2 linked regions of the Coturnix japonica genome follow. The protein of the gene in region 1 purifies or fractionates together with the protein of each later gene. This does not show direct contact. Links are inferred from orthologs where the notes say so. Each region holds a gene or a part of one and is shown on either strand. Other genes may lie near its edges.

What was found.
Region 2: the proteins of PRC1 (region 1) and PLK1 purify together in Homo sapiens (affinity purification with western blotting; 4 studies listed by BioGRID and IntAct, with this or other methods). This does not show direct contact. The link is inferred for Coturnix japonica from reciprocal best matches to the Homo sapiens genes PRC1 and PLK1.

Annotation. Positions count from the first base shown.
Region 1 is NC_029525.1:18,211,378-18,215,417, reverse strand, and holds the start of PRC1 (protein regulator of cytokinesis 1), read right to left. Parts: upstream 2,827-4,040; 5' UTR 2,704-2,826; coding exon 2,693-2,703; intron 1-2,692. Other genes in the region: VPS33B (vacuolar protein sorting-associated protein 33B), read right to left, coding at 3,168-3,247, 3,348-3,455, 3,523-3,598, 3,830-3,931. UniProt on the Homo sapiens protein: Key regulator of cytokinesis that cross-links antiparrallel microtubules at an average distance of 35 nM. Essential for controlling the spatiotemporal formation of the midzone and successful cytokinesis.
Region 2 is NC_029529.1:6,809,621-6,813,899, reverse strand, and holds the start of PLK1 (serine/threonine-protein kinase PLK1), read right to left. Parts: upstream 2,862-4,279; 5' UTR 2,680-2,861; coding exon 2,302-2,679; intron 2,103-2,301; coding exon 1,934-2,102; intron 1,842-1,933; coding exon 1,697-1,841; intron 1,496-1,696; coding exon 1,402-1,495; intron 1,103-1,401; coding exon 883-1,102; intron 573-882; coding exon 414-572; intron 197-413; coding exon 119-196; intron 1-118. UniProt on the Homo sapiens protein: Serine/threonine-protein kinase that performs several important functions throughout M phase of the cell cycle, including the regulation of centrosome maturation and spindle assembly, the removal of cohesins from chromosome arms, the inactivation of anaphase-promoting complex/cyclosome (APC/C) inhibitors, and the regulation of mitotic exit and cytokinesis.

The DNA.
Region 1 (4,040 bases):
CAGCTCGCAGTTGCACTGCCACCCTGCCGCTTGATTGCTAGAAAATTCTTCTTGCCTTCGCTCCTTGAGATGAGCAGCCTCCTTGAAGGACCCGGTTGCGGCACCTCCCAGCCCCCAACCTCCCAGATGCTTCTGGGCCCCTCCCGCCTACCTTCTCTGCGCTGAGTTGGGCACGTGGACGTCGGTTAGCGCGTCCAGCTCGTCCGTGGGCACCGGCACCGATCATCAATGCTGAAGAGGACACGCAGAGGATGCTCGCACAGGTTCTCGTATCTGTTCTCTGCAGAGGCCTTCGCTCCTGCTTTCCTGTCCTTCTTCTGCTTCAGCACGCACTAACGCGGGCCGTAAATTCAATTCACCATCTTGCAGGATGGGTGTCCCTCTGCGTCTCGAAGGAAGCGCGGGATCAGGGCTCATTCTGCAGTTCTCTGGGATGCAACTCAGGTACTTGGAGGTTTGGGAGCAGAGAACTGGGATGCAGCTCCAGAGCTCAGTGGAGTGCTCCCTGGGCTTCCCACAGCACAGCACCCCACAGCACAGCATCCCACAGCGCTGCATCCCACAGCGCTGCATTCCCACAGCGCTGCATCCCACAGCGCTGCATCCCACAGCCACAGCACCCCACAGCGCCTGGCCTCCGCACAGCACAGCACCACAGCGCCCGCTTCGCATCCCCCACAGCGCCTGCACTCCCACAGCGCTGACATACAACAGCAGCTGGCATCCACGGCGCTGCCATCCCCAAGCGCTGGCTCCCACAGAGCTGCATCCACACAGCGCCTGCAACCCACAGCGCGCTGCATCCCACGCACGGTCATTTCCCACAGGCGCTGCATCCCACAGCGCTAGCATCCCCACAGCGCAAGCATCCCACAGCCCTGCATGCCATCGCACGCTTGCATCAGCCACCAGCGCTGCATTTCCACTAGCGCTGCATCCACAGCGCTGCATCCCACAGCGCTGCATCCCACAGCGCTGCATCCCACAGCGCAGCACCCCACAGCGCTGCATCCCACAGCGCTGCATCCCACAGCGCTGCATCCCACAGCGCTGCATCCCACAGCGCTGCATCCCACAGCGCAGCATCCCACAGCGCCTGCATCACGGCACTGGATCCCCAGTGGCTGCACCCACAGCGCAGCATCCCACAGCGCTGCATACCCACGGCTGCATCCACAGGCTCTTGCTGGCGGCCTTCCCAGCGCCCACCCCGGGCCGTTGTCGTTGGGTGAAGCCTTCGGGCTCACCTAGCTCCCGGTGGCAGGCTCCTGTTGTGCGCTCTTCACCTGGAAGGCTCGGCGTGCAGCTTACGGCACAGAAGGGCCGTCCAGCTCTTCCTGTACACGGCCACGGTCTGCGCATCTGCCTCCCTCCAGGCGCTCTCCTCACGCCACCATCAATGTCCAGCAGGTTTCTGAGGCACAGACGGCATGAGCAAAAACACGCGTACAACACGGCAGCATGGAGCAAAATACAGTTTACAATAAGGCCACGCACAGCCGGCATGGAGCGATAACAACACAACACAGCCACAGCACGCGCACAACACAACACAGCACAGCACCAGCATGGAGCACACACAACACAACACAGCACAGCATTGGAGCACAAACAAACACAACACAGCTACAACACAGCACGCATGGAGCACACACAACACAAACACACAGCACGAGATGAAGCACAACCCAGACGAGCCACACAACACGGCACAGCATGGGAGCACATGTCACAACACAGCACGAAGGCACAGCACAGCACAGGGCATGCAGGAACACACAGCACGGCGCCGTCCCCGTCCCGCGCCCGCCCCCTCCCCCGATCCCCCGCTCCCGACCCCGCCCCGCTGAACCTTTGACAGGTGTCTCTTCACAGCCCCGGTCGCTCGAGCCGCAGTTCCCTCGGGCGATTGCCGATCGCTCACCATATGTCCCGCCAGGCGGCGGACAGGGCGCGAGTTTCAGGCCGTCACGGCCTCGGCCGCCAGCACTCGCTAACGGCGGAGCGGCTCCGAGGGCGGCCGCGACAGCCACCGGGCACCGCCAACACCCGACAACGACACCGGGACACCGCACCCCGCACCACTGCTCCCCCCGCTCCCCGCCGCGGCCCCGGGCCCCATCCCCGTATCACAGCCCATTCTTCCCGTTCCCATCCCCACTCCCCATTCCCGTTGCCCCATTCCCGCTCCGTTCCGTCCGTTCCCGTTCCCATTCCCGTTCCCGTTCCGTTCCATTCCCGTTTCCGTTCCCGTTCCCGTTCCCATCCCGTTCCCGTTTCCGTTCCCGTCCCGTCGCCATTCCCGTTCCCGTTCCGTCCCGTTTCCCGTCCGTTCCCGTTCCGTACTCCATCCCCCGTTCCCGTCCCCGTCCCCATCCCGTTCCGTTCCCGTTCCCCGTTCCCGTCCCGTTTCCGTTCCCGTCTCCCATCCGCGGTCCCGTACGCCGTTCCCGTTCCCCGTAACCGTTCCCTTCCCCGTTCCCGTCCCGTTCCCGTTCCCGTCCCCGTTCCACTCCCGTCTCCCGTTCCGTTCCCGTTCCCATTCCCTTCCCCGTTCCCGTCCGTATTCCCGTTCCGTTTCCAGTTCCCATTTCCCGTTCCCGTATCCCAGTCCGTTCCCCGTTCCGTATCCCGTTTCCGTTCCCGTCTCCCATCCCCTTCCCCGTTTCCTTTCCCGTTCCCGTTCCCGTACCTCCTCCTCATGTCCCCACTCTCCGCCGCCCGCAGCCGCCGATTCAAACTCTGGTTCCTCAGCCGCTCATTGGCTGAAGCTTCGCGCCTGGCCCCGCCCACAACCGCTCCCCAGGTCCCGCCCCCAGCCGGCTGTCAGCCAATGGCAGCCAAGCGCCGTCGGGGCGTCCGCCCAATCGCGAGCCGGAACGGCTGCGTGCGGCCGCTGGGCTCTGAGCGGCGCTCCGCCGCACTGCGCACGCGCGACTTTTGACGCCGATCACGTGACACAGAAACGCGCGCGCCGCTCGGCTTTGAATGACGCCTCGGGACGGAACCGGGATGAACCGGGATGGACCGGGATGAACCGGGATGGAACCGGGATGAACCGGGATAAACCGGGCCGAGACGGACGGTACCAGACAGGGTCGGACTGGACGGCGGCGTTTATTGAGCGGGCCGGGCCCCGCAGCGCAGCCCGCCCCGCCCCAGCGCTGTCACACCTTGTGCTCGGCCATGGCCTCCATCACACGGGAGCTGCTGGTGATGCCGGTGGTCAGGAAGATGAACCGGTAACCTGAGGGCGGGGACAGCACGGCAACATGGGCAGCACTAACACACACGGCCCCAACGCTGAACCCCCGTCCCGTCCCGTCCCTCTCCCCCCCATCCCGTACCTCTCTCCCTGCCCACGAATCGCAGCGCCGCCATCTCGGAGTAGCTGCAGCCCCCAATGAACACGGCCAGCACCACGCGCTGTGCAGCGCCATCCTCCATCGCTCCGTCTGCGGGACACGGCGTCACAACGGCCCCGCCCGGCACCGACCCCCGACACCCCAACACGGCTCCTACCGGCCATGGAGAACTCGCTCCCGTTCAGCAGCCGCAGCACCTCCTCCAGGCCCTGCCAGCCGCGACGCTCCAGCACCTGCACGGCACCGCACAGCACGGTATAGCACGGCATGGTATAGCACAGTATAGCACAGTACCACATAGCACGGTATAGCATGGCATGGTATAGCACAGTATAGCACAGTACCACATAGCACGGTATAGCATGGCATGGTATAGCACAGTATAGCACAGCACAACACAGCATAGCACAGATCAGGGCAGCTCTGGGCACAGGGCAGCACTGAGAGCACCTGGGGGCACCGACCTGCTCGATGATCTTGCAGCTCAGGGGCGTGTAGGCCCCGCTGAACACATACGCCATGTCCCGAGGCACCTTCAGGTTGTACTCGCCGTCCACCCGTGGGATCTGCGGGGAAGCACCGCTTGGTACTGACAGCAAAGCACAGGGGGGTCGGGCTCTGTGTCTCTGTGTCAGGCTGAGCCCCAGGCAGGGCCGGCAGCACAAACTGCCCTTG
Region 2 (4,279 bases), on another chromosome or scaffold:
TTGAATGCAAACACTGATCATGATTTAAGAACTAAATCTACACTGAGCACAGATCAGGACTTCTACCAGCTGCTTTAGGAGCTAGAAAAGGCTGAAGTACTGCCATCATGTTATTTACCTAGACCATACTTATCCGAGTAGTCCACCCATTTGCTAACCCAAAAGATGGGAATACAGGCTGGGTCTTCAGCTTCTTCTGCAAGGAGAAAAGGAGTTTGTTAGAAGACATTTTAAGGCATGCTGTGCAGCACAGCAAGCAAGGCCAAGAGGAAGGTAAGTAGCTTCCACATTGCTTTTCTGCCTTTCAGGTTGAAGCTGAGGTCAGTTGGTCCCTCAGTTCAGCCAAGAGGCATCAATGACAGAAGCAAGTTGTCCAAAAATGTCAGTGCCTGTGGGATTGTCCCCAGACTCACCTTGTCTCACTGCAGTTCTCTCAGAGGGTTTGGCTGAGTTGACTGCAGTCAGCTGCTGTAACATGTCTGCTAAGTGACACTCAATGCTGTCTCCCACCTCCCGCAGCCCAGCTGCATCTTCCTTTTCAGGCAGGTTTTCTAATGCAGGGCTTTCTGGTCCTGGGCCAGAAAAAAAAGAGAAGATTGCAGAAACATGAGCAGCAAGTTTCTAAAAGCACCAATTTACATGCTACCCTAGTTATAAGAAACACATTATGCACCTCATAGCTGAACTGCTCCCTGCTTTGGTTCTGGACAAAGAACAAGGAGAACTCCCAGACACGATATGTTCTAGTTATCATGAGAACTGGGAGAGTAGGTGAGGCAGCACTATATTCCCCACAGATGGGTCTGTGTGTTGCTAGAGGCCAGGCAGGCACTCATCCAGTGCTGCAGTCCTCAGCCCTCACTTCCAGACGCCTCCTCTTACCTTTGTTGAGTGCCGTCAGTGGCTTTCGCCCATTCAGTTCAAGTGTGCTGGGAGCGATTGAAAACCGAGGTGCAACAGTGAGACAGCTGGTGGGCAGGCGGCTGGGGATGTACCCTGATGTGAAGAACTCATCGTTCAGCAACTCATTGATAGTTGGGCGCGTGGCAGGGTCAGATCTCAGCATCTTCTGAATGAGGTTAGCAGCTACAGGGTTGATGTGCTAGGAGGAGACAGGCAGAGTTGTGAGTCAAGCAGAAGGACAAGCACACATTAGTGGCATCTGCTCTGTATAATACAACAGGTTCTGCTCAGAGCACAGCTCTGGGTCAGGCAAGCAGGACATAAGCCTGGGAGACAGAACCATACAGGTTCACTCTGCCACTGATTGATACAGCCCCTTCCCATCTCACTGTGATAATAGCTGCTTCACTATTATGTGAGAGCCCACTGAGTGCCAGAAATGGGATGGTACAAGAACGGCTGCAAGATGAATAGACCCACCCATGAGAAGTACTTTACCTTGGGAATAGTATACTCATTCTTCTTGATTCGGAGGTATGTTTCTTTGAGACAAGAGGTTTCAAAAGGTGGTTTCCCCACCAGCAGAGTATACCTGTGTGTTTGTAGACATGGAAGTGTGTTAGATTTATTCCCCTCCCTCCCCCAGAGCACCAGGGAGGTCAGGTGCCAGCAGCCATGGCAGTGTGCTGGATACAGCACATCCATAGCTGCAGGATACACCAGAACCTCACAGGGGCCAACAGGATGTGGGGCACAGGGACCTCACAGCCCTGCAGGAGACACTTTGACTCACATGATGCAGCCAATGGACCACACATCCACTTCAAAGCTGTGCCCCTTCTTGCCCAGCACCTCTGGGGCGATGTAGTTGGGGGTCCCACACAGGGTCTTCTTGCGCTCACCATCATACTCCACTTTGGTGGCCAAGCCAAAGTCACCTTGGGGAGACACAGAGATGGGAGCAATGAGAGAACCCAGGTGGGGTGGGACAGCCATGGGGGTCCTGCAGGCACCGCACCCCGACACCTACCGATCTTCACCTCCATGTCATCGCTAAGGAAGAGGTTTCCCAGCTTGAGGTCTCGGTGGATGACGCGCTGGCTGTGCAGGTACTGGCAGCCCAGGATGGTTTGCCGCAGGTAATAACGCACCTCGGGCTCGCTCAGCGCCTTCCGCCGCTTGTGCAGCTCCAGCAGTGACTGCGGGGATAAGAACACACGGGGATAAGAGCACATAGGGATAAGAACACACGGGGATAAGAGCACATAGGGATAAGAACACTCGGGGATAAGAGCACATAGGGATGGGGGTGTTGGTCACGGTGATGGGGTGTTGGTCGGGGTGTTGGTCACCCAGCTCCCATCCCGCTCAGCCCCCACCCGCACCCCCCGCCCTCACCCTGCGGCGGCACAGCTCCAGCACCACGTAGACGAAATCGCTGTCCTCGAAGAACCCCTGGAAGCCCACGACGTGCTGGTGCGCCAGGCTGCGGTGGATGGCGATCTCCATCGACATTTTCTCCTTCTGGTGCGGTTTGGCCAGCAGCGATTTGGGCACCACTTTCCCAGCGAACACCTCCCTGCTCTCGTTCTCGGTCAGTTCGTAGCACCGAGCGAAGCCGCCCTTGCCCAGGAACCGGCCCCGCACGTAACTGCGCCTGGTCCGCGGGTCCAGCAGAACCTTCGGAACCTCTTTACCCGCAGCCGCCGTCGCTCCACCCGATCGGGCCGGTTCCACCGCAGCCACCGGTCGGGCTTTGCCGCCCGCCGCGTTCATGGTGCCGCTGTCCGAGCTGAGAACTGCAGTCAAAGCCGAATGAGGCGGAACCGAACCGGATCCGAACCCCGAAGCGGAGCCGTGCGGGACGCGCTGTGTCGCTGTGTCTCTATGTGCGGCGCTCAGACCGATTCAAACGCGGCCCCCGAGCGTTACGCGCCCGCGGCGGCTCCTCATTGGTCCGGAGGATTTAAAATCCACGCCGCCCGCCGCGGAGCAACATGGGAGCGGAGCGACACAGCCCGGCTTAAAGAGACAGGAACCGGCGGGGACGGAGCACAGCGCCACCCAGCGGGCGGGAGGAGCGAGCGGCGCGGCGGGTATGGGCAAACGCAGTGGGGTATATGGCAACCAGTGGGTTATTGGCACTGCAGTGGGTTATTGGCATTGCAGTGGGTTATTGGGCACCCAGTGGTTATGGGCATTGCAGTGGGTTGATTGGCACCCAGTGGGTTATTGGCAATTGCATGGGTTATTGGCACCAGTGGGTTATTGCACTGCAGTGGGTTTATTGCATTGCAGTGGGTTATTGGCACCCAGCTGGGTTATGGCCATTTGCAGTGGGTTATATGGCACCGAGTGGGTTATTGGCACCGCATGGTTATTGGGCACTGCAGTTGGGTTATTGACATTCGCAGTGGGTTTATTGGCATTGCAGTGGTTTATTGGCATTGCAGTGGGTTAATTGTGGCATTGCAGTGGTTATTGGCATTGCAGTGGGTTGTTGGCATTGCAGTGGGTTATTGGCACCGCAGTGGGTTATTGGCATTGCAGTGGGTTATTGGCACCGCAGTGGGTTATTGGCACTGCAGTGGGTTATTGGCATTGCAGTGGGTTATTGGCACCCAGTGGGTTATTGGCATTGCAGTGGGTTATTGGCATTGCAGTGGGTTATCGGCACCGCAGTGGGTTATTGGCACGGCTGGGGCAGGAACTGGCAGCGGGGTGATTCCTACACGGGAGAACTAATGGACACTGCCAGCCCTCCGGGGCGACAGGAGAGCGAGCTGAAGGGGAGCTATAAGAAAGGTGGGTCTGTGCGTCAGGACAAGGGGAAACGGTTTTAAAAGGGATGTAAACTTCAATTGGATGTAAAGAAGCTGTTTGCAGAGAGGGGGGTGAGGAATGGCACAGGGTGCACGGAAAGGTGGTGGTGCCTGCAGACACCCATGGTCAGGCTGGATGGGGCTCTGAGCACTGATGAAGCTGTGGGTGTCCCCGCTCAGTGCGGGGCTGAAGCTGCTGCAGGGATCACGCAATGGGATTTATCCATCTCCTCCCTCTCCCTGTGGGCTGTGAGCAGCTTTTCACACTGCCACACTTCACTATGTGCAGGGAATTCATGCTCGATGTGTTTTTCCACACAGCCTGTTGTGATGCTTCCACGTGACAACGTTTGGCTTATAAAATACATTTCCACACTGACCCAAGAATGTGACACTTCTTTATTGTGCAGAATCCACCCATTTTTGTTGGCATATTCTTCAGTTTCTTCCCCCCTCTGCCACCAAGGTGCCATATCACCAGGTGGATGTGATTGTACCCAGCCTCCTTGATGATTCTTTTCCCTCACCAGCCATAACGTGGAACACGAGCTGGT